7 linked regions of the Daphnia pulex genome follow. The protein of the gene in region 1 binds, or shares a complex with, the protein of each later gene. Links are inferred from orthologs where the notes say so. Each region holds a gene or a part of one and is shown in the gene's direction. Other genes may lie near its edges.

Region 1 (4,845 bases):
TAGAAGCAGGAAGAGAATTTGACAGCGTAGGAGAGAACAGAGACTCGGCTGGCCAGACCGTTGTCCTGCAGAATCTTTTTTATGGCGCCCACACGGCCGTCCATCATGTCGGAAGGGGCTACTACGTGGGCCCCTTTGCGAACCATTTGCAATTTAAAAAGGTAAAATAATGGATAAAATTCTATCTAGTTATGGAAGTAATACCTGATTTGGCATATGCTAATGCTTGTTTAGCCAACCTTGCAACACTGGCAGCATTATCTATGGTACCGTCGTCACAGAGGATTCCACAATGTCCATGGATGGTGTATGCGCAAATGCATACCTGCATTTACAGATAAATCAAGGCGTGATTCCCACAGAATAAAAAAGGATGGGTTCCGTTAGATAAAGAAAATTCTCAAACATTGACTGAAGCTGGTCTGTGTTCGAATTAGCCCAGACACCGATCGTAGCTGACAATATTCATATTAGTCTGCACTACTGAAGCACCGCACTGCGGTACTGGAAATGTCAGATTTCAGCGGTAGCGAAATTTGGCAATTTGGATAAATAATTCTAAAAGTAAGTCAGATCTTAGCGGGCATTGCATAGTAGAAATATGTAGCCTGTCCAGCAACAACTCTAATCAACATTTTGCTACGTTATTTATCGAAAAACTGTTGGATGACAGTTACGCCTGTAGGGTTTTTTGTTTATTCATGGAACATCTGTGTGTGCCTGACTTGTGTTACTTGATACGCCACCGGCTAGTTTGTGATGAACTTGAAAGCAAACTAGATAAGATTGACTATCAGGGTTAACCAAAACTTAAAACTCCAAAGAATTATCTCTAAACATTTATCCTGAATTTTCTATCCTCAATCTGTATAACCTTAATATTATAACATTGTAGTGGAATTACTTAAGATTTTAAATAAAATTGCGCTACAACTTACATCACACGCAATGAGTAGATCGGGGAAAAGTTGTCGAAGCTTTTGGATGGCCAAAATGACTGGGTTCTCAGGATGGTCAGCCGCCGAACCGAATTCGTCTTTCGGCATTGAAAATGGCACACCGAATAACAAGACAGAACTTAATCCCGCTGCGACGGCAGACTTTAAATGATTTTCGAGACGATTAACTCCGAATCGATAAATGCCAGGCATCCCACTAATTTCCTGTTCTGCTTCAGGGTCATCTCTTTATGTTATATAAGAGTAAATTAATGTCTGGCTAAATTTTTATAATGAAATTGCATTTAGTTACTTACACTATAAATAAAGGGTACATCAAATTGTTCGGTTTAATTGTTGTATCGGAAGTTTGCCATGCTCGTAGAGTCGCGTGAGAATATCCGCTGTGTAAGATATGTGTTATTGGGACTTCAGACATTCTTAACTAATCTTGTGGTGACTACTGAATCAATTCAACTGAGCACACTGAATGCCCAAACTAGATTGCTCTTCTTTACTCAGACTCCCGTCTTGCAATCTATCCTCGTACTACATTTGCATATTACTAATTTCGGAAAATTTATACCAAATAAAATGTACTTTATAATTATTTAATATAATTTATTCAAAAACATTTATACGTATACATCAAATTATAATTTTTTGCGATTCGTGCGAGTTTCATGTGGAAAAAATAATCAAAATCAAATCAGCGCATTTGTAATGTGCTCCGTTAGATGGCGCCGCAGAGCTCAGAGAAATATTGCGTCTGCTAGGTCTTTTTGGAATGGCTGCTAACGTTGTTTGAATGTTTATCTATTCGTCGCGTTGATTTCTGTCATCCAAAAAATATTTACTTGATTTGCAGATTGTCTTAATCTCTGCATTGAATTCGTGTTTCCATATATTATGGATCTGATCGCTGTTGTCCGACGTAGTCATTATGAAGAAAGCCCCAGGAAACGCCAACGATTAAACACGGGCAATTCTCCGTGGGAAAAGTGATAACCCCTTCACATTCTATTTAGTGCTATTTTTAATATTATATTGTATAACTCTTAATAAAATGTGGTTATCTTTTGCAGTGAGTCTGATATTGGGGTCACAGCGTGTGCCGTGTCTCCTCAAAATGTTATAGCATTTGCTTGTTATGGAACACTGAAGAGTAGTACAGCAGGTCCAAGTGACCAAAACATGAATGTTGTTGTTTGTGACGCTAATACCCCATGGGATACGCATATGTGAGTTTGAAATGTTAACAACTAGTTCAGAAAATTTGAAAAGTTATTCTGTTTTATTTTCTAGTGTTAAGAGCTGTGTGGCACAAGTAACTGTTCTGGAATGGGACCAATCTGGTCATTACTTGCTTATCGGTGATACTGCGGGAAATGCAGAAATCTGGACAACACTCACACATCTTTTGAATGAATGGACCAGAGTAGCTAACATTTGCATTCCAGATGAGCCAATCCAGGCTGGAATGTTTTTCTTTAACGGAAAGAAAGTAATATACAGTTGAAGTAATTTTATTTTTCAAATTAACCCTTTACATTTTTTTTTTTTTTTCAAATTTGTTTAGACATTTTTAAATTGCCAAAACCGGGAAAGTGTGTCATATCTGGACAAGTATATTCAAGTAGATATGAAACCAACTATTCGCGGATTCGGAGGTCGTCCTCTACAAGGTTTTCTTGTTGTTGGAATGACTGGCCTTGTGCAAGCTTTTGTGATGGGTGGTACTAAAGGGAAAACAACAAATGTAGAAATTCTTGGCGGAATACGATTAGCATATTCCTTTGTGGATCTTGCCTGGACAAAAGGTAGTTGAGTAATTAATTCATTACCAGTTTCTTAACTCATGTACGGTCTTTCAGATGGAGAAATATTAGCCGTAGCATGCACGGGAATCCCTTTGGACCCGATTGTATATTGCAAGCTTACCATTCAAAAAGATGACGGAGTGGAATTCAGTTGCCTTCTTGATGAATATCGTCTTCGTTCTGAAACACTCACTGGACTTTTCCCCCTGCAGTCAGGAGGTAAATTTGCTTGAAATATCGAACATTTTGATTTTGGTTTTTAAATACTGAAGGTGTCTTTCTTTTCAAAATTAGCCAACGAAATGCGTGTATGTGGTGTGAATTTCAGTTCACGAGAAGATCCATCGGGAATATTCCTAGTAGTAAATGGAATTAATAGTGGAACTCTGCAGTATTGGGAGCTGTCAGAAGTTGAACGAACGATTCATTCACTCTTCTCCACTTCGGCTGCCATGAGTCGCTTCCTGCAGTGGCAGTGTATGTCCGTTTTCAATTGCAACAGTCGAATCACCTACGTCTGTCCGTCACGCAATGTCTGGGTAAACGGCCAAGAAGCGGGTAGCCCTCCACAGCATCATTTAGTCATCGCCACAGTATGTGGAGAGTTATTGTGCTTATATCGCGAGAGTATGAAGCAGGTAGATATTGTCTATCTAGATTACGTTGAATAGCGCAAAAATTAATAACATTTCATGTGGACACGGTACGTTTTCAGGTTGGACACCTCAGCATTGTGGATAGGTCGAAATGTGAAAGCGCCCAATCGAAAACGGTCAGCTCGGCGTGTTTCACTGCCACTGGCAATGCATTGATTGCCTTCGATAACACTGCGACAATGTTTGTCTGCAAACTTTCTCCCATCACAGATCCTGGTAAGATTTTGGCATAGTCTTCGGCAAATATCTGAATGAAATAAGTTTTAAACTGTACAAATTATGTGTAGGAGCTTCGGTCACCATTCCTTATGCATTAATGTCATTGGAGTATTGTCTGCTGACTGGTATCGACTATTGGGACGTTCTTATCGGTTTGCGATCGACGATGCTGGATTCCCTGTGTGAACGATTAACCGACTCCTTCAACCAGCAATCTATTGGATTACAGCAATTGCTGCAATATAGATTGCTCAATATTAAATTGGCTATCTTCAGGTAACTAATAGAATTTTGTTACGAGTGCCATTAGTAATTGATACAATTTTTGGTTAAAAGGTTGGGTCCAACTGCGAGTTCAAAGGCCGGATTGCAATACGGTATTATTATGCTTAACTCAGTATATTACGCACTGAAATCGCTGCTGAGGCCACCATCAGAGCTCTTTAATCAAGATAGAGCTCCTGCAGATAGCCTTACTGGTAAATAATTAATGATTAAACATCCATTTCTATACATGTAACATGTGCTCAATATTTTCAATTAGCTGTGTTGAGTTCCAAAGTTCCAGAGGTCGGCACTGAAGTTGACAAAGTGTTGCTACACTTGGAAGTCAAAGAATTTACAGTTGAGGCATCAACTCTCATCACAGTGCAACATCTTATTCAATGGACAGTCACCTTTATTTTGAGGTTATTGAACAATTTGCCCGATTGGCGAACTGCAACCACTACACGAGGAACAATGGTAATATTTGACGTTTCAAATTATTCGTAATAAAAAGCGTTTTATTAAATCGGTTGGAATTCTTTCAGTGCGACATGCTACGTGACCCTAAACTACTCAATATGTTTCGAGAACTATTGGTCATATTCAGGATTTGGGGCTTGATTCGTCACTCGTGCTTGCCTACTTTCAGCTACATGGAGAACGTTGATGTCATTGCCACACTGTTTCGCATTCTAACTCGACTTCTTCAAACATCAGAACCTGATGAAAGCCTTTTAGGTAATATTTATTCAAAATTTTTCCTCAAGAGATTGTTGCTGCACCGACAACGGTTGTCAGGTTTAAGTTACAAATCAGTGGTGGCTGTGGTTAACGCCAGCCACGTCCGGAAGGATCGACCACTTCCTTGCTCGATAAAAATTCGTTTCTCGTAGCCCAGAAAATCAGAATATATTTTTCTCTAGTCGTGACTAGCAGGTGCTCCCC
Region 2 (3,353 bases), on another chromosome or scaffold:
AGTACGGCGAGTGGGGGGAGTGTACTACTACGACTTTGTGTATCTTTAAAAGAAAAAAAAAATGTATGCGTGCGTGTTTGTGCGTTTGACCGTGAGTAGGAGGTGGTGGCTGCCTAGCGAGGCGGTCAAACGAATCGGGAAAAGGGGCAGGAAAAACATAATCATCCGTTCCCGTGTTGATTTGTCACGAACTTGGCCATCTAGCGGTCGAAATTCGCAACTTGCCAGGTCGTTTTGGTGAAATAACATGGGCAGAAAAAATGGATAGATACATAATCTTGGCATTTGTATTTCATGCCCTTCTAGTAAAGTGTCTGTATCATTTATTTATCATTTATTGTTGGAAAAGACAGGCAGAGATTTACAATAGAAGCCGGAAAAGAGAGGGAAAATGTGTGGCAACTCGGATTCACGGGACATAAAAGTGCAGACGATGTCAACATAAATATTATACGATGTCGTTGGACGATATCTCCTGCCTCTAGAATAAAAAGGACTCTGTGTATAGATGAAGAGATAGGCCGTGATGACATATTTATTGAACGGGTGTTATGAATGCTACTGCTGCTCGTCATTTATTGAGCAGCGCTCTGGCCAAGACGAAATCAATTGTTGTTAAAATGTCGACATTCCAAGGTGCCAAGGATCTTTTCGGCGGAATCATTGTGCGCTCGAGCGAAGAGCCACAAGAAAGGAACCGAATGGAGCAGCTTCTTAAAGGTGCAAATTTATTTTTATATATTAACACATCATTTGTTTTATGTAATAGTTGTTTTGTTTGTTTTTAGAATCTCTGCAAGTCTGGTCCACCACTGGAGTTCGTGGAGTCTGGTTTGAAGTGGAACCAACCTGTGCTGAATGGATTCCAGTACTAATTCAGGTAGTCAAAGAAGAATTATTGCTAGTCAAAACTGCACGAGCATTACCTTATTCATTTTCTTAGAATGGCTTTTCTTTCCATCACGCAAACCCAGAGTTGAGTGTGTTGCTCAAATGGTTGCCTTCTGACGAACCTTGTCAAGTGCCTAGTTATGCACACACAATGGTAGGCGCTGGAGCCATGGTTGTCAATGATAAGAATGAGATTCTTGTGGTTCAGGAAAGGTATTACAAAAGACCACACTGGAAACTCCCTGGTGGTTATGTAGATCCAGGTATGTATATTTAGACATCATTAACATTCAATCATTACCAATTATTAAATTTACAGGGGAAAGTATTGCTACTGCTGTCAAGAGGGAGGTGTTTGAGGAGACTGGTATTAAGACAGAGTTCGTTTCACTCGTTGCCGTGCGGCATTTGCAATCAAGAGAGAAGAATCCCAGTGCAAGGTTCGGCTGTTCAGACATTTATTTCGTGACTTATCTCAGACCTGTTGAAGGTAGCACAGAAATCAAAATGTGTCCTCGTGAGCTCAGCGACGCTTGTTGGATGCCGGTTAGTTTTCTAAATGTCAACATTTTCAATTATTCCTAGTCTGTGTAATTGAATTTTAAATATTTTAGCTGAAAGAATATGCGACTCATCCGCTTGCCTTCGAAGTTGGGAAAATCTTTGCTACACAGTTAATGGCGATTGCCGATGGCGATAATCCCGCAATCAACTGCCTGGAATCTATCCATCAATTGACTAATAGCAATAGCCAAATTTACTTAGTTGAAGGAAAACAAAATTTTAAACTGTAATGTGTTCAGGATCACGTTCTAGTATTTTGTTTTAGTGCCTGTTACGGGAATCAGATAACGCATTATATTTAGCTTGAATTGTTGTTTTAACAAATTATATATGCAGATCGGTAAATTACTGCCCAGTTCCTGTAATCATCAGAATGTAGAATTAATTTCACAATACAGGTTGTGAATGTTTAAATTTGGCATTGAAGTTATCAGATTCATCGCTAGGTGGCGTAATAGCCGGCACATCTGCTTTTCTCATCTCTGCATTTCCATCAACAATGGCTGATCGTTTGACACAACTCCAAGACGCTATAAATGCGGTATTTATAACTGATTGCATTGACGAAATTGCCAAGTGTATCGTCTCAAATTCGTGGTTTAATTCTCTGTTTCTAGCAAGCTGATAATTTCTGCAATGCCATCGGTATTTTGCAACAAACCGCCCCACCGGCTACATTCCCAGGTTTCGATCGAGCAGGCAATCGAACACCTCAACAACAACAAGAAGATCACGCTTCTCTTTTTGCCACATTGATTGCCCGCTGCGCCAAAGATATTGACGTCCTAATCGATTCACTACCCAGTGAAGATTCTACCTCCGAACTGCAGGTATAAACTTGGTTCTATTAGTATTCTGTCGGTGCAATGTTCTACGAAGTTGACTAAAATTAATTCAATCGCTGCAGATTGCAAGTCTCAGAAGGCTGGAGAATGAAAATGAAAGTGCCGCTGCACGATTGAGGGAGGTTGTCAGCGAAGGAGAGCTGATGCTCGAGAAAATTCAGAATGCACTTCACGACATTGCACAGACCCAACTGGCCATGCAGAGCACAGGTCCAAATTCCTAAATCCAACCATTATTTGCTCTAGTTCCCTATTTTTGATATTTAAAAGAAGAAAATGAAACAAACAATTTGCTCTGCAAGAATTTCGTTTCATTTCTGGTTTCCGCCACAACATCAATTTTAAATCTGTTCTTTTCAAAATCATATTGAGTGAACATTCTTGTCACACACAGGTGAGGCAAGTCATTTCAGGAAGGAAGGAAGATGGGGTGACAGATTGTAAAAGAAACTGTTTGAAAAGGATTCCAACCTTTTATATATCCACTTCTTTTTTTGTCTTCCTTTAGAAAACCCAAAATGGAAAGAAGGGGGGAGAGAAGTTGCTGTTCACTCGTAAGAAGAGAAAGAACACGCGGTCCGTTTGTTTAGGAATGGCGTGCAACAAAAAAAAAGAGGAGGGGGGAGCGGGAGGAGGAGAAAAAAAAAACGATAGAATGTTGTTTAGCTTTTTATTTTTTAAAAAAGAAGAAGTAGAAAAAATTCTCCCGTGTGTATAAATATAGTGCTGCCATCTTCTCCGACCCCTTTCGGCGATCTCCGGTCGTTCGGTAAGAAGGGGGAAAAATAAAGGGGGTTGGAAGTGGGTGGCGTTCAGTCTCCCCACTTCCTTTTTTTTTCTCTCTCCCTCCCCAACCCTTTTTTGATGCAACAACAGTGTCTGCGTTCAGCGATTATGTCTTTGGAGAAGATTACGTTTGGCAGAATTTCAGGTGAGTTTGAACAATTTGTTTTCTTATTTCACGAATTTTCCAGGGTAAATTTTGATGTTGCTCAGGATAAATATGAGATAACTGGGGAATATATAGAGTCTTATTAGTTCTATAGAAGAAGC
Region 3 (4,710 bases), on another chromosome or scaffold:
AGAGAAGGAAAGAGAGAAAATATTTTTATATCAGGTGAAAGAGGAGGAGGTTATACATGAAGTAGAAGAAGAAGAAAAGAAGCGTCCATAAGTTGATTGGAATGCGTTGAATAATTCACGAGCTGGATTGATTTGGTTTAACACAGAAAAGGGCAGCAGCAGCAGCCACCACACCAGGAAATAAAAGAAGATGTATCCTATTACCGGGGGGGATGATGTGAGCCTGATGGAATATCACCAAGTTCCTTGTAAAAGAAGAAGAAGAAGAAGAAGTGAGCGAGAAAGCACATTGGGTTGGTTGCCCTTTTGTCGGGTGTTTGGGATCTCTACTCGATTGAGATTGGTCAGGGCCTCTCTCTTGATCTAACTCTGCGACGTGGTGTGGGAATCGTTCGTGAGAGATATCGCGTGTCACGAACCGATTGGGCCTAAAGAAGAAGAAGAAGTTTTTCTCCAGCCTCATCTCGTGTGAGAGACAGACGCAGACTTTGCAGCCGGGGTCCAACAACAACAACAACATCCCCCATCCCAAAAAACAGCAGCAGCTCCGGTCGGAGTAAGAAGAAAATCTCGCACACACAGTGATTTCCTCCTCCCCGCAGAGTTCCTTCTCTTCCACGTTTGAAATTCCCTCCTCTTTCCCCCCCCCCCCCAAAAAAAAAGACATTTGAATTACACTGAAAATTTAAGTTTCCCGCGTCATGAGAGAGCGTATTGGAATAGAATTGATTTTTTATTTCCAACCAAAGAAAAAAAAGCAGAGGGAGGCTGGAAAGAATCCCAGAAGAAGTAGAAGCCACTTGATGTCTTATCTCGAAGCAGTATTTTTTCAAATGGCTCTTTTTTCTTTCTCTTCTTTCTTAGCTTCCAATTTTTTAAAAAACATTTTATTTTGATTTTCTATTTTGAAAATAACCAACGCAGTTAATGGGTAGAATGTGGGCAGGAAAATCTGAAGAGGAATCCTTGTTCTTATATTCTTCTTCTGGCTATATGTATATCCACATGCACGAATATATAGAGAGATATACCTGCTTCACGTCTAGATATCAAGTGGACGGGCGCTACCGATCCGCCCAGCTGCTATACACAACACAACAACACACATGACTGCCTACCGACTCCGTGCTTTTGTGGTTTCCTTGTTTTGTTTGATTTTTTCTTTCTTTTCTTTCTTTCTCCCTCCGTCGGGGGTGGAAATAGAGGAGGAAAGAGAAAGAAGAAGAAGAGATAAGTTGATGGTGAGGTTTGACGTCACACTCGTTGAAGATTGAGAACAACTGGCGCGCATAGTTATTGTTTTCTTCTTTCTCTTTCTCCCTAATGCCCAAGGTTTCCTCCCGACACTTGGCGTGCGCTTTAGTTCTTTTTTTCGTGGGGGTTGTTGTTGTTGTTGTTGTCGTCGGTAGCGGAGGAGGAAGAGGAGGAATAGAGAGACGGGGGCGACGGAAGGCTGCGGCTGTTTGTGGTTTATCTGACATGTTGGAGAGTTGCCCGCAAGCTTTTTCGAGTTGCCATTTGCGAGCATTTCCAACCAAATCCTCCGACGAGATGGAAAAAAATCCGAAAAAAAAGGAGAAAGAGACAGACGGGGGGCTAGGCGCCATCATCATTATCCGGCGGGACTTGACTGATGACGCCATCAACTTGTCTATCGCCCTTGTTTTTGCAAACTGCCAATCTGGCTCAATTTCTTTTTTTCGTAGGAAATTTGATTTCTCTCATGTCTTGTGATGTGGGAGGGTTAAACGCCAATGTGTTTTTATCATTCATTTTCTTTTTATTATTTAAAATCATTAAACTTTTGGTTTCTTCATTTGGCAGGAGCGCCGAGATCGGTGCATTTGCTGCACAATTCCGAGACGCCGGCCTCCGTGTTCGCTCTGCTGGAGGCGGCCAGCGGCAACAAGACGGTGGCCCTGGTGGCCGACAACTTGTTCGACCTGCTCATGCTCAAGCTCTCCAATTTCTACACGGCCAAGAAGCAGACCAAGATCGAATCGAGAGGGCCGCGCTTCGAAGCCGGAGACTTCCTCGTCAAGCTCGGCTCCGTCACCATGGGACCGGCCTTCAAGGGCATCCTAGTCGAGGTATACATTAAACAGCAACCCAACCAACCAACCAATATCCCACGTTAGTGCATAGACAATAACGACATCAAAAACTTCCATCTCTATCTCGACTTGACGCTGTCGATTGTCTCCCTTTTTCTTTCCCTACAAGGTAATAATGATGAGAGGCTTTTTTCTGGCCTCTTGAAAAACAAGAAAACCCTTTGACAACATCCGTTTTCTCTGTGTGTGGAGGGAGAGCTAGAGCTAGAGCTTTTCCAGCTTCTTCTTCTTCTGTGTTTACAATCTCCGCGTGATGGTTCTTTTTTTCCGTTTTCGGTCATCCAGCACTAAATATGCAAGCGCCTCTTTTTCTTTTCATTTCACTCGGGAAGGTTTCAGACAGTTAATGAGCTTGTCAATATTGAATTAAAAGTGGGGTTGGGTGGGAGAAATTTAATTATTTGAAATGATCAAATCACTACGAGTCTACGAGCTGGCTCTGACGGGTTTGGGCTAATATTTGTGATGATGGACGCTTGAATAGAGCCACAGAGAGAGAAGGGCTGAGTCAATGTTGATGTGAAAAACGGGAGAAAGAAAAGAGACTCTGTCTCGTTTTCTTGGTTTTCTTGGTTCTTTGATTATTCGTGACTCGAGAGAGTTCCTCGCTCTTTTGGGTGCCTCTTATTATCGTACACGAGCCGAGTGTGTTGGCGCTGGGGCGGGCTGATGTTGTGAACAAAACAATTGATCATCCATCCAACCATCGGGGCCTTTTTATTTCTCTTTTTCCATTGAAGAAGAAGAAGAGAAGAAAAGAGAAGAAAAACGCGGCACAACTGGAAGGCGCGTGATATTCTCCGTCTGTGTTGTTACGTCATGGGCTCTTCTCATCTTCTCCTTGTTTCGTTTTATTTTATTTTTTGGTTTTGTTGTTGAGATGTCATGGAATTTCAAATGAGTTTTTGGGGGCGAACATTTTCTGACTCGGCTGAATATTGATTTCATATACTCCCGCTGACACTCGCAACAACAATAATAACAACAGCCAGCCAGCGACGTCTGCAGGGTCTGTTTATATGGATGAGAAACAATTTTTTTGTTTTCCCGATCGATTCTATCGGAGAGATAACTTTTGCCATCCGTTTTGACAGGTGGAATATCAAGCGTGCAGTCTGCCGGCCGCCTGTTGGGATCTGATCCGCGAGTTCATGCAGGGCTTCTTGGGCGGTTGCGTCCCATCTACTCCGCCTCCGTACATCCAGGTCTGCTCCTTCTTCCTGCTGCCCGTCTATAGGCTCAAAACAATTTTATTTTATTTTTTTCTTCTTCATCCCCATCAATATCAAATAAGAATTTACGATGTTTGCCTTTCGTCATGTTGTTATTATTCCAATTCGTCTAACAAAATTTTTTTTATTTTTTTCTCTATTTTTTTCCTGGATGCATAAATCTTTTTTCTGTTCCGTGACGGACCATCAGAGCCGATTCGGCGACATGCTGGGCACTATCGACGGCATCAATCAGTACCTGGAGCAGTTCAACGCTTTCCGCAAAACCACCGGCATCCGATAGATCGACAAACACAACAAACAACAACTCTATTTGCCCTTACACAACAACAACAAAAACGCGCCATTGCTACAACAAAATAAAAAAGGAAAAATACAAATAAAGAAAATAAAAAGAACTCCGCCGCTCCGGTGTTTTTCTATGTTACTTGGGTACAACTCTATTATCCATCCTTTTGGAAAAAGAAAAAAAAACTAAATGTTTTTTATTTTATTTTCTCTTTAACCGTGTTGATTCAAAAACCGCCGTCGCCCACCTTTGCACACACACTCGACCCTTCTTGTATTTTTTGGACTTTTTTTTCAAAGTTTCCCGCTTTTCTTCCGGGCGCTTTTTTTAAAAAACTTTAAGTCAACAAGAAAAATCAAGAGGACAACTTTCTCTCTTCTTCTTCTTTTATTGTGTTGATTTTGTGGGCTTCCCGTTTCTAAACAAACACATCATCACCTCAATGGATGGCCATTAGGGGTTCTCTGTTGTGTGTGTGTGTGTGTACCAAGTGCCATTTGCTATCCTCATTTTTTCCCGGAATTTTTTGAACATTATTTAAAAAATGGCGCGGTTTTTTCCCCCCATTTCAAAAATTCAAATTGCTGACTAGACACAAAGGAGATTTCCACGGTGTATGCCGTCGTGTTCCATCTGCTTTGATATCGTTCTCGGTTTGAATGAAACAAGAGACTCCGACGACGTCGTGCCACTTGATTGCGGGGGGGTCACAGAGGAGTCGACAGTTTCTGATGTAATAAGAGAAGTAAAAGAGCGACGGTGGATGCTATTTCCAGCAGGGCTGTATACATATATATATAGTCTAACAGCAGTTTATACGGCGTACGAAATCACTCTCTTGAAGTGTGTTGTTTATGTGTACACTCTCTCTCTCTTGCCGGCGTCTGTTTTTGATCTGTTTACATGTTTGGAATAGCAGCGCAAGACGTTCGCCGGCTTATACCTGATACCACACAACTTTTTCCATCTATCTATCCTGACCTTTTGGCTTCTTTTGATTTCACGCCTGTGGCATTTCCCCCCCCCCCCCGGTATATATTTATTTATTTTTCTATACACCGTGGCCGCCGTCGTC
Region 4 (4,853 bases), on another chromosome or scaffold:
TGAGTTTCTTCACAACGCACGGTCTTCTCCAGCACTTTCGCCCCCTAGCACTATATACTTTGAGCGTGCCCGCAGCTACACACTCTAGTCAAAAGAACGCCCGCTGTATCCCTCAGGTAGGATGGTTGTTGCCGTTCGTTCGAAACGAGCTTAGTCAAGGTTAAAAATCTCCTCACAACGTTTCGGTAACACTAGACAAAGAGCGTAGAACATTCACGTGTTGTTGACGTCACATTTCCTGGATATCTCACGATTTCACGTCCACGAAAATGTCATATTTATTGGTTCACGGAGTAGTACCAGTCTATCATGGGTATCTTTCACACCGTTTCCGGTCTGTCTGTTAAGTATTGAGTGGTTCGCGTTGCTAGTAATATATCCCAATTCTTTAACAACTGCGATTGTCAAATAGGAAACCGTCTCAGAGGGACTCTGAATTTTTATAGTAACTAGACTAATTCCTCCCTCCAGCAAACGGTCCGTGACTGGAACTCTAGGCGCAAGCTTTGATGTTTATGGGCACTATCACGAAAAAACAGCCTGCGGCCTGCAGACTTCGAATTCGCCGCCTCCCAAAAGAAAATTTATTCTTCTATGTATTTGTGGTTTGTGTGGATGTCTATGTTGGCGTTCAATATTTGCTCAACCGAGCGAATCCTCAAAGCAATAGCAAGTTTGAATATATACCGGTAACCGCCAGTAACTGGTTTGCCTATACCAAGGTCGCAGGTGGGACGCAAGAACAGAGCAGCAGTTCACGCAGACATATGGTTCGAGCGTGAAGTAGAGTCGACCTTGGCAACAGATCGCGACATCAAATTCCTTGTTGGTCGTCGTTCCCGAACGATTTTCCTGGAGGTAAAAAATGCGTTGATTGCGAACGAAATCTCTTATTTGAGATCGAGAACTGGTTGTGAAAAATTGGAAACACCTTTTTTTGTTTCTTTCTTCCAGATTCTCAAAGTTTTCTTGAGAAGAAAAATCATTAAACGTGTGTTACAGCTGACATTTCGAAATTCTTCTCATCACGCCCTTGAAACTGCTGCTGCTGCGCTCGTATGCAGATGAAGTCGCGTGAAAGTTCGTGTTCAATGTCGAAGGGCCTTTTCAAATTTCTAGTTCTATTGGAGCTTTTTTGCACAAGTCCATGATGGGTATAAGATGTTACAGGATGACGAAATATCTTTAACGCTTGGGGTTAATTCATGCGTGATCGCAAATTTTTAAATTTCAGGCTTTTTTGACCGATAATTTATACGGTCTCAAAAAATGCCACAACAAGCTGAGCTTATTTCCCGAACGACATTTGAAGGATATAGCCTTTTACGTTGATAGTAGTATAATATCCTGGTATTTGTATGTAAAGATAAGAATTATTTTACACGGACGCAAGAAATGCTATTACAAGCGGAATTTTCCCGAACGACAGTTGAAGGATATAACCTTTTAAGTTCATGGTGGTATTATATCCTGGTATTTGTATGTATTATGTTTGTATATGTTTGTAAGATAAGAAGGAAATTATTCCTTCTTGGCAGTCATTTATCTGCGGGTTTCGTGTAAATATTGAATTTTTTTCTTGTCTGTGGTAGGGTTATTAGATCATTCTAAAATAATTCCGATCCCTTTAGCGGATGTCGAGTGCGGGTGGGAAAACCACTTTTATCGTATTTTGAGTGGGTGTTTTTTATATTTGTGGATTTTTTAAATAATTTATATCGATATTTTAAGAAATAAATGGCTAATTAGGAAGTTAGCGTCGTCTGCTGCTTTTGTTTTGTTTAGTTTCGAAATAAACGTGGTCGTGTCCACTCTGTGGTCACATCTCTTAGGCCTACTCTCTTTACAGAATCACTTCGTACACACGGCTGATTACCAGGTAAATAAAACTAAGAATACCTATAGAATGACTATAGAAACTGAATTTCGAAGAATTAAACCTTTTCCAAATTTTTTTAAATGTTAGTTCGTCCTGACCAGCATTTATCATTTAAGCCCCTCTGTCGATGCATGGCAGTTTGTTTGTTCACTATGTAACCTTTTCCTTAGTGCATATTTGAGGCCAGAGACAGCCATCAACAAGATATGATGTAACCATAGACCTGTCATCAGCAGCAATCTCAGCATCATCGCTTAGGTAATGATTTTCATTACACCTTACTTTTATTCGAGTGGTGTGTGACCTGCTAGATACTTTAATTGTGCAATGTAATGCAGGACTTGCAAAAATGCAGTGTATTACATGTAAACCGTCTGTTTATTAACAATCAAGTTTTACTCACTGTCTCATTTTAAACTATTCCTTGCTTGTTGTTTCTGCAGATATTTTTTCGTAACCCATTTCTTATTTTTTTAATTAGTTTAACAGCATCCCGTTTGGATTCTGGATTGAGAAACTATCGATGTTGGCCATGTTACGGGTCTCTTCTTCCCTTTTCTTTAAACGGCCTCGTGTATGCCCATGTGAGTGTGGGTGTATTCACGAGGCCGCCCTTTAATATCCTATTCAATTATTCTGCGGATGGATGGAGAGCACTTGTGGATGCCTGTCCCGCTGTCCGTATATTTCCCAGGCCTGAAGGTAGGAAAAATGTATTCCTATTCTTTATTTTTTGACTGTTTGTTGGTGTTAAATCGTGACATAGTAGCCTACGGAGTACGATTATTCCTGAGCTAGATGCGGTTAACTGGAGTAGGTTCTCTTGCGGTTTTTGTTTACTCACTATAACTCAGTAAGGGTTCATTTAGGCGAAGTTTTTGTTTACTCAGTAAGTAAGAGTTCATTAAATTTTAGTGTTGCAGAACGACTGCAGGTCAGACCCAGTTTTGTACCTTACAACTTTGTCTGTTGTTGGTTCACAAACCTCAAATAAAAAAATATTTGAACTTTAAACACTTCCAGCAAAGTGCAACTAGAATTTATTTTTTTTCCCAAGAGAAACCTGCTAGTTTTATCCAACAAATCCTGTTCGAGGAACCTTCCAGCATGACGGTTAAAGAAATTCGATGCACAACGCTGACGTCATTATTTTTCCCCGGTTTCGTTCGCCTCAGGAAAATTGCCTCCGTCAGCCACAATTTTTTTTTTATTCACTTGACGTCATCAACATTCATTGTTTGACGTCACACTTGTGCGTGAGTCGATGAGGGGCGCGCCAAAAACAATTAAGTGGTGGTTCTCTCAACGCCATTTCGCAACCACGGGTTTTTCCGGTCACGCTTATTGTCAATTTACCTCACACGTTGACACCCGCGTTATTGTCCTATTTTGAGTTGACAATTTTTTGTTCACATTGTTTCTCCTCTTCTTCGACGAAATTGTTCTCGGTAAAGTGACTTGCTAACTCGACATTTTACACTTTCACGTAAAACAACTTCAGGTGTTGTTTGGAAATAGGGCAGTATAAGTCGACTAATTTGCAAAGATACTATAATATATTGTTCACACAATAGAGATAGCGGATAGTCACACTTTTAGCAAATGTTGGCTAAACGCCTAAACCTATAATGATTGGCCTAATTTACCATTCCAGCACCGCCGCCTATTGTCAACCAGGCGGTGTACCATTCGTTCACAATGGGGAAAACATCTCGGCAGGTTTCACGACAATTTCTTTGATTTTATCTTCTAACTTTCTTCGAATTTGGGTTTCAGAATTTTCGAAAACAGTTAATTTATTGTATTTTTCCTTGTCGCCACATTTTTCTGCTTTGCTTTAATTGTACCGGTCATCAATCTTACAACAATACGACGTGTTGCAGCACATATGCGGCTCGGGAGATTCTACTTCCTCGAGTTCTTTGTGTCGGGATGTTGTCGTAGTGAATGAAGGCGAATAAAACTCCAAGGGCAAAAATCTTAAAAAGGAGTTTGGACTCTGTTAGGCACTTTGACACAGCGATAACCACCATATACGTAAATCTCATGACAAAGAAAAAGGTAGAACTCGATGAAAACCGGAAAAGGCGATGTGGCATTTGCTGAATATAGCTTTAAACTATTAACAAAAAAAACATCTTCCAGCCGACCGGTCTCAGACAAGTTTACATTAGCTTTTTCATTGACATTGACTTTAAAGGACCTTTGACACATTGCAGAGAAAACTAGGTGTGGCGTTTTGAAAATCGAAATATTGTACCGATTTGATTCACCGGATTCATTCGCAAATTAAATATTTAATCATTTTGTATCTTTTGCAAGCCGGAGCACTGCGAAATGCGAATACGAGGCTTAGAAAAATTAATTTGGCGTTCACACAAACACAGTTGCAATCGAAAGCAAATAAAGCATTGAAGGTGACCTTCGAAATAATGTTCGAATCGTTCGCGATGCGAATTTTTAAACACCTTTACAACATCCTCAAGCTTTCCGCTTTGAGGGCCGTCAGGTGAAGAATGATTTAGCATTCATTTCGGCGAGTGTCTATGTGCTTTAATAGCGTGATTCTCACATTGGATATCACGTAGGCACATTTCTGTTCGTCTGACTTGCCAGTCGAGTCATCGTGAAAGACAAATTTCCTTGCAGTTTTTATTTTGTATTCTTTGTTTGATTAATTAATGTCAGAAATAACGTTAATCATCTCCTTGTTCTTCAGAGTTATAAGGGGATTTTGGATTTTAATTTGAGAAAATATTTCCCGACATAAACTTTCTTATTTATCCATCCTTTATTTTTATATCTAGCCTAAAGGATGAGTCGCGCTCGGGGCTTGTTTTTAAGCTGATATAAATCACAATCACATTTGGGAGGACGTCGCTTTGGGCTACCATCCGCGCCTTTTACGTCGTTCTTTGTAACTTTTAGAAAGAAATTAAATTCAATGGAATTGTGCAAGGTCGTTAGGATATTT
Region 5 (4,132 bases), on another chromosome or scaffold:
CATTTGCATTTGATTTCAAAAATAAACATTTTTGCATTCTAACTTGATAAATAAAATTCAAAGATAGCAAATCAGATGTCACAGTTTGAAAAAAATTTTAAGGTATTAGTCCTACCGTTTCAGTGATGTATTCAATAACAAGGTCTTCCAGCAGATCAACACTTTCTGTATAGGGATTTTGATCATCACCAAATCCAAACATCATGCAACGAAGTTCCTTGCTGAAGAGGCGCTTTCTGCCTGATGAAGTGGATCCATAATGCAAATCAGGTTCATCATCATCAAACTAGAAATTGAAACATTTAGAAATTAAATGAACAGTAAAGCATTAAAACAAATTTAAATACAAAAATTTCCACCAGCAATATGTTATATGTACCAGCAAAACTTTCAGCTGGAAATTACTTAAGATTTAATGTAACTTAAAAGAAGAAAATTACCTGATCATAGTTTTCATCTGGATTTTCTCTTTCTTTGCTGTCTCTTTCTTTCTGTGGGGACGAAGTCAATGAAGTATTCACCGAGGGAGAAGACATTTTGAAATTTGATTACTAAACGAGTAAATGTTAGTGGGTTGGAGAATTTTCGAGCAATAAACGTCAACAAATCAACCACTGCAGAAGACACTAGGTAGGTTAGTAACGAAAACGGTTGCCAGATGGCTGTAAAAGCACTCTTGTACGTACTAAAATCTGCTTTCTTGTAAAAAAAATACATTGCGCGGCGCCTGATTACGCATTCAACATTGAAAAATGTTTATTGGTTACAAAAAGCCAGAGTTATAGCTCTGCAAAAAGCGTCAAAGCAAAAATTTCCTCGATTTAAATTAGTGTCGTCCATTTTCATTCAGTTTGAAATCTCCAACGTAACTCGGCTTTTCTACGCCGTTAGCGTACATGGCAACATCATACTTGATTCGATATGGTTTATTGGAACCTTGATTGTAAAATAAGGAAACAGTGATACGAGCTTCTACTTGTTTTCCGGGGTAAAATTTTTCAGAATCCTCAATCATCTTGCGGACTTCAAATTCGAAAGATTTGTAGGCACTGTTGTTGAAATTTTTGTGCATGGGGACGAGATTATTTACGTCCGATCCCGATCCTCCAAGCATTTTGGCAATGATATGCCCGGCATGATAGTCTCCTTCTATACCTAGTTGTTTTTTCTGCTCATTGTTTATGGACACTGTACTTCCATTTCCAAAATTTTCCGACCGAACAACCGCATAAACTTTGCGATACTCGTTCTTCTTCTCCAACCTTAACTTTGACAGACTTGTCATTCGACATTCTTGTAGACAGGAACTGAACCAAGAATCTGTAACACAAAATGTGTTTTAAAGTCCTCATAACTGGAGATTCTAAAGTCGAATTGCTGGACTATATACTCACCCAAGCAAACAAATGAATGTCTTTTCACTCTTTCCGGAGTTTGTTTTTGAGAAATTGCTCGGAAAACTTTGGGCGGGTCAGACGATCAAGAGCGGAACAGCGGATTCCTGCTGTCTGTTTATGTTTACGAAATTCGATTCATAAATCGTCGCCAGTGTTGCATTATTATACACTTCAAACATATCTCATTACTATTATATTTTTTAGTTTCTTTTAACGAAATCACGTTGTAGAGCGGTGATTCGACTCCGAATGAATCCATAAATAAAGGATAAGGAAATTTAAAAAAATACGTGGTCAGGTTAAATCTAGATATGGCAACCTCACTTCTCTAGTTGTTGTTGCAGCCGTAGCCGAGCCGCATTCAAGAAAAACTAATTTTGATTGGAAAGTTTCACTTACCTGTTTTTATAACTATTTCTATAAAAAGGAATAAAAATAACTAGACATGACTTCTCAAAAAAGTACCAGAGAAGTATTGCTTACTTGCATCGACGATATCGAAATCATCGCAAAGTAAGTTTTTCTTGATTTGGCTGCCTTTGTTCGTCGACTATTTTGATCACGTAGTGCAATTGTTCTTCCTTCAAAATTTTTTTAATGAAAGTTAAAGCCTCAGATCTATCTATTGTTCATTAGCATGATATATTTATTTATCTTATTAGGTAATCATACCATTGTTTACCTGAAATTCAGAACACTTTGTCACACTCGTTTGTATCATACACTGTTTTGAATTTGATTATTGAATTTTAATCTTCCAAAATATAATTGTCACTGTACTAAACTTAATCTTTTTAATTTATTAGGGAACTTTTGGACAACTTAATAGCCCAGAAGCAGCAGAAACCTATGAGTACTGAACACTCTCAACTTGTTGAATTGGTTCTTCAAAAAGACACTGATCTTAAGGCAACACTTAAGGTAAAATTATTTGTTTTTCATAATTTTTTTCAATGCTAATTCTTTCTTTTATTAAGTTGGCTGAAGAACAAGGTGTATTACAACAAAAAGTAGTTGCCTTAGAGACAGAAGTTGAAAGGCATGATGTTGAGATTCGAAATCTTCAAAAGCAGCTTAAGGAGGCAGAGCAGCTATTAGTAAGCTATTTTTAATTATTTTGTTGGTTTTAGTATTTCATAAACTTACTCTTTTTCAGGCTACTGCAATCTTTCAAGCTAAGCAAAAGTTGCAATCAATCACACGGGCGAATAACAGACCTGTAAATTCCGAAGAGTTGATAAAATTTGCTCACAGAATATCGGCTTCCAACGCTGTTTGTGCTCCTTTGAATTGGCAGCAAGGAGATTTACGCAGACCATATCCCACGGGTAGAAATTTTTTTTTAAATTGCTGTCCAGTAGTTTCATGTTGTTTTGTGGTGGTTTTCAGATATTGAAATGCGGCTAGGATTTTTGGGCCGTCTTGGTGAAATGAATGTCAATGGACACATGAGTTTTCCAGAACTTTTGCATCGTCCTAATCATTCTTTGCAGCAGGGGTCTTCAGTTCCGAATTCTCAAGCAGGCACTTATAGTTGGTTATCTCAAAATGACCTGCAAATGCCCTGTTTGTCAGTTTCACACTTGGGTGTGAGTGGTGGAATGGATCACAAAAATCCCAAGAAAGAGAATGAAGATGTCGACGTTATGTCTACGGACTCGAGTAGCAGTTCATCTTCCGATTCTCAGTAAACACGTGAGCTAACAATTTACACTCTGTATCCTGCGCGATTGCTTAATATTGTTGGTAACCATCCTGTATACTATTCTACTTTCGCATTTCTTTTTGAAAACCTTCCTCATTCAAAGGTTCGTAAAATAGATAAATATTTGTGCAATTCCTTTTTCGAATTGTTCAAATTCTTTTCCATTATAAAGTTATGCAACAATTTATTTTATAGTTAACTTCTCACTATTTACAAAATAGCTTTAGAATCGAACTCCCCATATAAATTCAGGAGATGTGCGTCATCTCTATAAAAATACCTAGATTTCCATATATTCTTCAGCATAATAACCCGAGGCACGTCGGTTAAGGTCACACAAAGTATTCGCGTATTTCATCGAGCAAATAATCGGATGTCTCTTCGCTTATCTCCACAAACCGTTTTTGCTTGCGGCTAAAGACGTAGATGTCTCCGGTATAGATGTCGAACCATAACCTAGTATCATAAATTTCAACATTAAACACTTACGAGTAAACGTTTGATACATGATACATACGCGTGAAGGTGTACTCGCCCCGAATTTATGGCACTTTGAATGAAGCTATAACTGGCAATATGCTGTAGTTGTTGCAATGTGTTGAGCTGAAAAAAGATAACCCAATTAGATTTGTAGACATTACATAACTTGGCATAATTCTACCTGTGAGAGCTTATCTGTTAGACTAAATTTATTGTCAGGGTCTATGTAGGCAACAAATTGTCTGAATGGTCCCTCCATTGGGAAAGTCAAGGGCTGTTGGAAACCATGCACTTCTAACCTCTCAAATTTAGTTAGAGAAATACTACCATGGCGATGAAGCCAAGCTTTAAGTGGAGATCTCTCGAGAGTTCTCATGTTGGTTTCAATTCCTTTTTTAAAACTATACAATAGGTTCATAGCCTGAAACAAAAGTTGTGTGTCATTATGTTTATGTTATCATTTAACAAGTTTATGGTTGACTGACCTTGCAATCTGAGTGTCCACAAACAACCATGTGCTTCACATTATTTACAATGCACCCCAGCTCCA
Region 6 (2,848 bases), on another chromosome or scaffold:
CTAATGATCGATAGGTGATACTGAGTGGTGAACTAGGAGGGGAGACTTTCTTTGAGCAGTGGGCTTCAGAATGGCTGAAACCTAATCAGGCGCCTGATTTGTCATTAAGTCGCTGCGATCCCATGTTGACTGATCAGTTATTGAAAGCCTTGACATCTGGAGAGAGTGACCTTAGATCAGGGTAAAATAATCTCGCCATTTTTTTCTTGAAAAATAATAAGCCCATTTCTATTCATAGGAGCGTTCGATGGCACGAAGCTTGTTTCCACGTCCCTGCTGTAATACGGGAAATTTTGGGGGCTTACGAATCACAATTAGTTTCTGATGAAGAAGTTGAAAGGATTCTCGATACTTTACGGACTCAAATGTGCTGTCTGTCTGTTTGTGCTGCCGCTTGGCTTCGATTTTACATCCAAGTAAGAAAAGATCCAATTAAAAAAAAATCAAAAAGATTCGAATTAAAATACGGTGGACATCTCCTTTAGGTACAACCAGCAAATCTGAAAAGTAAGCCCACGAGCATGCTCGATCATTTGATGACTTCCCTGAATCTTGATGACTCTAAAGAGCATTATAGGGAAAGGTAAATTACGATAATGCCCTAACAAATGATTTTTCGCGTTCACTATAAAATTCTTTTTTCCATTAAGGTCAGTATTGATGCTGCAAATCATTCGGCGTCTGGCACAAGACGACAATCCCCTACAAAGCGTCTCAGAGAATCAAGATCAAAGTTTGGATCATCAGTTAACCAAATTATGGAATAAGATTTTAAATCATGGTTGGTCAGACCATAGCACAACAGTGGGTATTGATCAACTATTCAAAATTGGTGGAGCAACATGGTTGGTCACTTCTTTGGTCAAGGTACTTAATCAAAGAACTTTATCCTAGACAAGCCTAGCAGGTATGGGTATGCGATTGAATGTCCTTTCTTTGTGTCTCGCAGGCAGTTATTAAAGAGCAATCTTCTGACAAAAGACAACGGTGCGTCGAAGGAGCGCTGTCAGTTGCACATTTAGATTTAGAAAGCTGTGCCATTTCTTTAGCAACCAGAGTACTCCCATTCCTACTAACTCACTCCTCAATGCTGGCCAGGTAAAAGGGTTTGGCCTCAGCGTAATGCCAATCCCAGTTAACATTCCTTTTTTATTTCAGTGACGAAGAAACCGGTGGACCAGGCGGCAAAGCGTTAGCCCAGTTGACTGTCCTGCTGTTTACCGCTGCGTTGAATAACCAGTTAGCCCCAGAATCCGACTCATCCAGCCCTTCCAAAAAGTTGGGTTCAAAACGTTCAATCGATTGGGATATGAATACGCCGGGTTTTCGATATCCTCCTTTGAAAAAGATGGCTCTTCATGAGGAGGAATTTGACTTTATGTTTGTAGCTCCTAACAGCGGTAAGTTGTTGATTTGTTTTGTTGTTTTTTTTTGTTTGTTTTTTTAAGATTATTTGAAACCCTGACATATTGATATTTGTTTTCAGCCCATGAAAATAATCCACTCTCCAATGCAATTGCAAATTTAATGCAATTAATGACCCGAGCCGCTGGTGAAGGCATTATTACTCCGCAGCTTGCGTTCATTAGTTATTTCATTCAAACGATGGCAGAAATAACTTCAATCAAAACCAAAGAAGTCATGAGACCTCTTTTGACCTTAATTCCTCCAGCTCTGGTAAATCTTTTTTTTTTACAAAATTAACGTCGGAGTTTTCTTTCAAAATCTTTTTCTACTTCCGTAAGGTGTTTTACATGCTTGCCGTTTGGCCCGGGTTAATGTCCATTTCAGATGTTGCCAAACTGTTGGCTCATCCCGGCGATGAAATGGGTGTCGGGAAAATCGCTGCGCAGATCGTTTGTGCATTCAAGAATATAAATTAGTCCACAACAAGGAACAGAAATGGATAACAATTTTCTGTTCAAAAAGTATTCGCTGACCGACTTCAAAGTGACGATACTCTTATAATTTTGCTGGAAATCACCTTCTGAGCATTTCGCCTACTGTGGAAATCTGAGAGAACGAAAAATTCGCATTGTCAAGAAATTGTAATTTTCAATTTTTGTTCACATCAGTTTCGGAATATAATGAATTTTCAGTAAGAAATCAGCTATGTTAGCTTATGTCAAAAAGAAGGGGCTGTCTTCTGTTGTCGAAGTTGGAATTTTAATCCCGTAGGAGTTGCGCAAGCGTACCGCCCCATTGATGTGGCCTTCGAAAACGTTTAGCATATTGATGTCGTCTTCATCGTTACCAAATGGGTCAGTGGCAATTCGGCCTACTTTGAGCCAGGCATAGTAAAAAAAGAATGGCAAAGCTGCAATAATAAAAGGTATAATATTAAAACAACAAAACACTTTTTGAAATTTGTGGTCATTCGTACCGTAGGGCAACGGAAAATAACCACTCATCACCGATGTCAAATAATGTTTTTCCGCTATTTGATGGGACAATATAGACACGAGTCCGTAACAATAGATGGCAATTGTCACAGCTTGAATCAGGGCAACAGGAATGTTCTTTGTAGCAAATTTAATTACTGTTCCACCACCTTTCTTCAAGGCCTGGATAGCATCGATGTTGCGACCGAAATCATTAGCAACGAAAAAGTATCCTTTCTGAGAAGTGTCCCGCAACAATCCGTTTAACCAATCGTAGACGACTAGAGAGCACGTCCTCGAAGTACCGCCAGGCTGCCCTTTGTGCTTTTCCAGTAAAAGTCGTTCGTTCTCGCATAGTAATCCTGCATTCTGGATTGCCATCAGATTAGGATATCTTTTTCTCAATGGTTGGCAGACAATGCGGAATGTGAGGAGCCACATAAGCAGAACGTAACGGATGTACAGGT
Region 7 (3,934 bases), on another chromosome or scaffold:
GTGTCGATGAAACAGACATTTTTGAACTTCTCCTATTTTTTTCATTGAAATTGCTTCATCTGCAGCTAATGGCAAAAAGATTTCCTGTTGTCTCTCAGCATCAGGCAAGTATCCTGTAATGTACACTAAATCCAACTCATCACACTGATGTATCTTCACATCTTCGTTCCCCCTAACTAAAACAGTTTATGAGAAAAGAAAATTCAACAACAGAATATTAACAAACATTATACCGAATTTAAGATCTTTATAAAGTTGTAACACCAAAGCTTTTTGTTTTGGTGTTCGAAATGTCATATTTTCTATTAAGTCCATTTTGTCAAATTCGGAATCAACAACAACTAGCTATTCGAGGGGCTAATTCATTTTTCACTTTTCAGACGACCGCGAGAAGCCGAGAATTGACAGAAGCAGACATCACACGATCGAGAAACAAAGGAGGAACGATTCTCGCAACAACAAAAAAAATTATTCAACAATATTGATATCATATTATTTTTAACATTATGGATACAATTTAATTTAACACTTGCAAAATGATTAAATTTTCTGGTTCTAGTTCCAAGTAGTTTTTATCAATTATTTGCGTAATGCATACTTCGCAATGTCGATAATCAGAAAAACCGTCTGCTTCAACTCTCAAGCTTATCACAACCAAAGTAAATCTTAAAAGCTGCTATGGAAAGATCAAACAAAAAAGCTGGTAAAATGCAGTTCATTAAAAGTTTTTACAACGACCCTTTCAGATGGTAAGTTTTATATAATCCCATTAACTTATGAAACACTCACTAAGAGAATCTTTTTTTATCTTAGGTCGTTGGTGAAGAGCGTGGCTTTGTTCGCCTTGGGAGTAAAGATTGCACGCGAGTGTGTCGACATGGACTTAATGGCTCCTCAAATGCAATAACTACGTTAATTGTCAAACAGTTTAATAATAAAAGCAGAATTGCATAATATTCTCAAAAATTTTTTTTTATTTGACTACATTGTGGGGCAATTGTAATTCATTTATAATTCATCTGGCTTTTGAAACTTGTACTTTCCTCTCCAACTATTTGGCAAAGGAATAAGAGCTGGGCAAGGTAACTGACCAGGTACCTCACAGATGCAATGTCTGCTGCATTTAGCTCCAAAATTAGCTGGGTTTTCTATTTTATCCTCAGCTTTCAGTGTTTCTCTAGATATCAATCAATTAATAATTATTTGGCATTTAATCTTACATAATTGTTTCAACAACTTACTCTGATTTGCAAATAATCCTGCGTACTCTTTCATAGATCTCATCTTTTGACTTGAAATCAACATCCATTAGAACCTCTTCCCCGTTTTCTGAACATGAAATTTGTTACTTATTTGAAAAAAATGTAATATTTTTTTAGTTACCTAAATAACACCGTATAAATGGACTAGGAGTCAAGTTCTTGAAGGTAGCTATCTGAATATTGGGGTTTTTGTACTGTAACTGAGGCAAGTGCCAAAACACGAATTGTCGGGCACCTTCGTGATTTTCACCTTTTGTGTTGTAGTTGATCGAAAATATCTTGACTCTATCCTTTAACACCAACTTATTTCGGTCTAAATACTCCAAAGTTCTTCGGATCGGAGCAGGACCTTTCATAAACGGCATTTTATTATGGGAAAAACTATTTTACTCGACCTAAATGATAATGAGAACTTGAACAAATAATTTCTCAAGCAGACGAACCAACGGAATGGCTAAGTCTTGATAATTTGACACTAGAGGGCTTATGCAACAAACGCAGACGACATTTTTGTGATTGACATTTGGTTGAAGCTAGCAAGCAGCAAGCTACAAAAGCATCACATCAGTTTATGTGAATTAAAACTTAAAAGAGCTTTCTCATAATTTATAACCAAGATGCAGCGTGAAGAGAAACAGCTGGTAATTATATAATTTAAGAATTGAGGTAAATTTTCATCCCAAACTTACAAAAAACGTTCAAATCAGGAAGCCGCTTTGGAAGCTTTGCTTCAGCGAATTAATGACCTAAAGACTTCTATCCGAACTCTGTTATTTCGTTTGGAAAATGAATATGGATCCCTCAGTTGGCCTTCTGTTTTGGATAGCTACGCCGTTATATCTGGCCAGGTAAATTATGCTTAAGACATTAGCAAGTAATTCAGACTAATTTTAAATCGTCAAACCAGATGAATACATTGCTGAAAGTTATGAAGAATGATAAAACTCCACTTTTGAGAAACCTCATAGTTTTACCTCTAGTTTTGAGCCCTGATCCAGATGAGGGTAAAGTTGCACTTACTATGCATACTTGCTGGTATGAGTGATTATCATCAAACATTTATTTGTAGAGCTCAAACAAGCAACAGAAGGGCGTGTTGTGGCCTTTTCACATGACATAACACCTGATATGCTGAGAACAAAACCTGATCCAGATGTGGAACAACGTCAAAATCAATTTGAACAACGTGCTCTACAGGTAAGAATACTTTTAACAGAAATAATAACATAAAATCTTACAACTTCTTTATTGTTAAAGGTTCCACCAGAGACAGCACAAAAGCAAATCAATGCAATGAATAAAGTGGTCAATCATGTTTTGGAGCAAATAACACATTCAAGAGAAGATTGGGAAAATGAAGCTACTGTCCGAGCAAATGCAGCCCACACTTGTATTATAGCCGATACGCACGCTCTGATTGCTGCTGTGGGATTGGGCAAGAACCTTAAAACCCTTCCTACAGCTGCTCCAACTCAACCTGGTGAGTTAATTATGCTTGCTTTGCTTCTAAAATTGCAAAAATTCCAACACATCGTCTTCAATATAAAGGTCCAGGACGCGCACAGCCTGGTCCGGCTCCAGGGAAAACAACAAGTACTATCAAGACAACCATCAAAGCGGCCAGCCAAGCGCACCCATACAACAGATAATAGGACTAGACCAAATACACATTTATTTCATATTGAAATCAGAATACCAAACACGCCTCCCTTATAATATCTCAAATGGAGCACTTCAATCATCGTAAACTGAACATAAACACTCATAATTAACGTCATTAAAAAAGGGGGGGAGGGCGACACGGAATATAATAAGTATTTTAGCGCGGAGAGTTTATAGTCAACTCCTTAAAGCATGAATCGCAAACCCTGACGGGTTTCCGGCTATTACCAACGGCAGTCGATTTACTAGAACACTCGTTGCAAAAGATTTGGCCGCAGTTGCGGCAGTGATGTTTCCTAACCGTTAGATTAAAACCTTTTTGGCAGCTCAGACAATCATTCACTTCGGAATCATCCGCCCACTTTCGGCCCTGCAATTTGGCGTTTTCCATCTGATGTAACGAAGAAAACCATTTTGTCAATTTATAAATGAAAATGTTTGTCGATTTTTTATTTATACCTGAAGACTCTGATTTTCTCGGCCGAGTTCGTGTAAAGCAGCTTGCGAATCTTCTAGGCGACGACGTAGTTCAGCAGCGTTGAACTTAAGTCTGTCCACTTCATTCTCCCATTGATTGCAATTGTTTTGCAGTTCTGTTTTTCCCTCCTCCAGCAACGCTACCCGAGTTTCAAGCTCTGCATTGGAAATTGATTTAAGCACCATTAAAAACAAAACCCAAATTAAAAAAAAAAAAAATCATACCAATCTTAAGTGTGTGATATTTCTCTGCCGATGCCTGTAACTCTTCACAGCGCTGATAGCGGGTTGCCGATAGGTCTTCAGCTTCACTTAAATTACCCTTCAGCGCCTTAATTTCTTCTTCTAGCTTCGTCTGTTTTTCTAACCACGCACTATTTTCCTTTGCTCGTCCTTCCTTGGCTGCATTCTGTTGAATCAACAAAGCCATATGCAACAATCGTTTCATGAGATAGTTTAAAACTTTTGATCTCATACCAATTGTTCGATAAGCTGATTTTTGTCTTTTAGCAAACCTTCCGATTCATTTTTGA

What was found.
Region 2: mediator of RNA polymerase II transcription subunit 16-like (region 1) and mediator of RNA polymerase II transcription subunit 21-like share a complex: the UniProt entries of both Homo sapiens proteins name them as parts of the mediator complex. The link is inferred for Daphnia pulex from reciprocal best matches to the Homo sapiens genes MED16 and MED21.
Region 3: mediator of RNA polymerase II transcription subunit 16-like (region 1) and mediator of RNA polymerase II transcription subunit 20-like share a complex: the UniProt entries of both Homo sapiens proteins name them as parts of the mediator complex. The link is inferred for Daphnia pulex from reciprocal best matches to the Homo sapiens genes MED16 and MED20.
Region 4: mediator of RNA polymerase II transcription subunit 16-like (region 1) and mediator of RNA polymerase II transcription subunit 23-like share a complex: the UniProt entries of both Homo sapiens proteins name them as parts of the mediator complex. The link is inferred for Daphnia pulex from reciprocal best matches to the Homo sapiens genes MED16 and MED23.
Region 5: mediator of RNA polymerase II transcription subunit 16-like (region 1) and mediator of RNA polymerase II transcription subunit 4-like share a complex: the UniProt entries of both Homo sapiens proteins name them as parts of the mediator complex. The link is inferred for Daphnia pulex from reciprocal best matches to the Homo sapiens genes MED16 and MED4.
Region 6: the proteins of mediator of RNA polymerase II transcription subunit 16-like (region 1) and mediator of RNA polymerase II transcription subunit 24-like are in contact, whole or in part, in a cryo-EM structure (PDB 7EMF), measured with the Homo sapiens proteins. The link is inferred for Daphnia pulex from reciprocal best matches to the Homo sapiens genes MED16 and MED24. Residues at the interface, in NP_005472.2 of Homo sapiens: His29, Cys30, Pro31, Ser32, Arg52, Asp54, Asp55, Gln56, Glu82, Asp102, Val126, Glu127, Gly128, Asp129, Pro130, Val184, Ser185, Leu187, Thr203, Glu204, Ser205, Cys207, Arg208, Leu209, Arg210, Gly211, Arg212, Asp232, Gly233, Ser234; in NP_055630.2 of Homo sapiens: Ile539, Leu540, Asn541, His544, Pro545, Glu593, Arg629, Met630, Leu631, Gly632, Leu633, Asp634, Glu635, Asp676, Gln679, Gln680, Thr681, Ala682, Pro702, Pro703, Lys704, Arg705, Pro706, Ile707, Lys708, Glu709, His737, Met738, Gly739, Gly740.
Region 7: mediator of RNA polymerase II transcription subunit 16-like (region 1) and mediator of RNA polymerase II transcription subunit 8-like share a complex: the UniProt entries of both Homo sapiens proteins name them as parts of the mediator complex. The link is inferred for Daphnia pulex from reciprocal best matches to the Homo sapiens genes MED16 and MED8.

Annotation. Positions count from the first base shown.
Region 1 is NC_060021.1:617,892-622,736, reverse strand, and holds the start of mediator of RNA polymerase II transcription subunit 16-like, read left to right. Parts: upstream 1-1,688; 5' UTR 1,689-1,847; coding exon 1,848-1,939; intron 1,940-2,023; coding exon 2,024-2,179; intron 2,180-2,243; coding exon 2,244-2,442; intron 2,443-2,517; coding exon 2,518-2,758; intron 2,759-2,812; coding exon 2,813-2,977; intron 2,978-3,052; coding exon 3,053-3,396; intron 3,397-3,473; coding exon 3,474-3,630; intron 3,631-3,701; coding exon 3,702-3,909; intron 3,910-3,969; coding exon 3,970-4,112; intron 4,113-4,177; coding exon 4,178-4,377; intron 4,378-4,445; coding exon 4,446-4,638; intron 4,639-4,845. Other genes in the region: delta-aminolevulinic acid dehydratase-like, read right to left, coding at 1-133, 205-325, 939-1,185, 1,256-1,377. UniProt on the Homo sapiens protein: Component of the Mediator complex, a coactivator involved in the regulated transcription of nearly all RNA polymerase II-dependent genes.
Region 2 is NC_060027.1:1,945,885-1,949,237, reverse strand, and holds mediator of RNA polymerase II transcription subunit 21-like, read left to right. Parts: upstream 1-1,861; 5' UTR 1,862-1,954; coding exon 1,955-1,996; intron 1,997-2,072; coding exon 2,073-2,285; intron 2,286-2,362; coding exon 2,363-2,524; 3' UTR 2,525-2,601; downstream 2,602-3,353. Other genes in the region: nudix hydrolase 8-like, read left to right, coding at 552-720, 789-880, 944-1,154, 1,211-1,437, 1,506-1,685. UniProt on the Homo sapiens protein: Component of the Mediator complex, a coactivator involved in the regulated transcription of nearly all RNA polymerase II-dependent genes.
Region 3 is NC_060026.1:11,659,379-11,664,088, reverse strand, and holds the end of mediator of RNA polymerase II transcription subunit 20-like, read left to right. Parts: intron 1-1,824; coding exon 1,825-2,090; intron 2,091-3,208; coding exon 3,209-3,319; intron 3,320-3,536; coding exon 3,537-3,629; 3' UTR 3,630-3,634; downstream 3,635-4,710. UniProt on the Homo sapiens protein: Component of the Mediator complex, a coactivator involved in the regulated transcription of nearly all RNA polymerase II-dependent genes.
Region 4 is NC_060019.1:10,887,552-10,892,404, reverse strand, and holds the start of mediator of RNA polymerase II transcription subunit 23-like, read left to right. Parts: upstream 1-1,782; 5' UTR 1,783-1,879; intron 1,880-2,049; 5' UTR 2,050-2,137; intron 2,138-2,360; 5' UTR 2,361-2,581; intron 2,582-4,853. UniProt on the Homo sapiens protein: Required for transcriptional activation subsequent to the assembly of the pre-initiation complex. Component of the Mediator complex, a coactivator involved in the regulated transcription of nearly all RNA polymerase II-dependent genes.
Region 5 is NC_060026.1:12,376,292-12,380,423, reverse strand, and holds mediator of RNA polymerase II transcription subunit 4-like, read left to right. Parts: upstream 1-1,718; 5' UTR 1,719-1,842; coding exon 1,843-1,910; intron 1,911-2,203; coding exon 2,204-2,318; intron 2,319-2,374; coding exon 2,375-2,494; intron 2,495-2,553; coding exon 2,554-2,725; intron 2,726-2,786; coding exon 2,787-3,088; 3' UTR 3,089-3,234; downstream 3,235-4,132. Other genes in the region: transcription initiation factor TFIID subunit 13-like, read right to left, coding at 116-286, 441-536; beta carbonic anhydrase 1-like, read right to left, coding at 3,435-3,558, 3,620-3,705, 3,764-4,003, 4,068-4,132. UniProt on the Homo sapiens protein: Component of the Mediator complex, a coactivator involved in the regulated transcription of nearly all RNA polymerase II-dependent genes.
Region 6 is NC_060019.1:9,364,414-9,367,261, reverse strand, and holds the end of mediator of RNA polymerase II transcription subunit 24-like, read left to right. Parts: intron 1-14; coding exon 15-181; intron 182-238; coding exon 239-416; intron 417-485; coding exon 486-583; intron 584-650; coding exon 651-867; intron 868-949; coding exon 950-1,098; intron 1,099-1,158; coding exon 1,159-1,400; intron 1,401-1,486; coding exon 1,487-1,677; intron 1,678-1,745; coding exon 1,746-1,883; 3' UTR 1,884-2,106; downstream 2,107-2,848. Other genes in the region: bestrophin-3-like, read right to left, coding at 2,121-2,317, 2,384-2,848. UniProt on the Homo sapiens protein: Component of the Mediator complex, a coactivator involved in the regulated transcription of nearly all RNA polymerase II-dependent genes.
Region 7 is NC_060023.1:11,386,566-11,390,499, forward strand, and holds mediator of RNA polymerase II transcription subunit 8-like, read left to right. Parts: upstream 1-1,741; 5' UTR 1,742-1,879; coding exon 1,880-1,903; intron 1,904-1,969; coding exon 1,970-2,110; intron 2,111-2,169; coding exon 2,170-2,266; intron 2,267-2,331; coding exon 2,332-2,459; intron 2,460-2,519; coding exon 2,520-2,742; intron 2,743-2,810; coding exon 2,811-2,911; 3' UTR 2,912-2,949; downstream 2,950-3,934. Other genes in the region: protein CutA homolog, read right to left, coding at 1-176, 234-315; probable 28S ribosomal protein S25, mitochondrial, read right to left, coding at 1,009-1,177, 1,242-1,329, 1,384-1,627; early endosome antigen 1-like, read right to left, coding at 3,082-3,315, 3,384-3,559, 3,627-3,810, 3,879-3,934. UniProt on the Homo sapiens protein: Component of the Mediator complex, a coactivator involved in the regulated transcription of nearly all RNA polymerase II-dependent genes.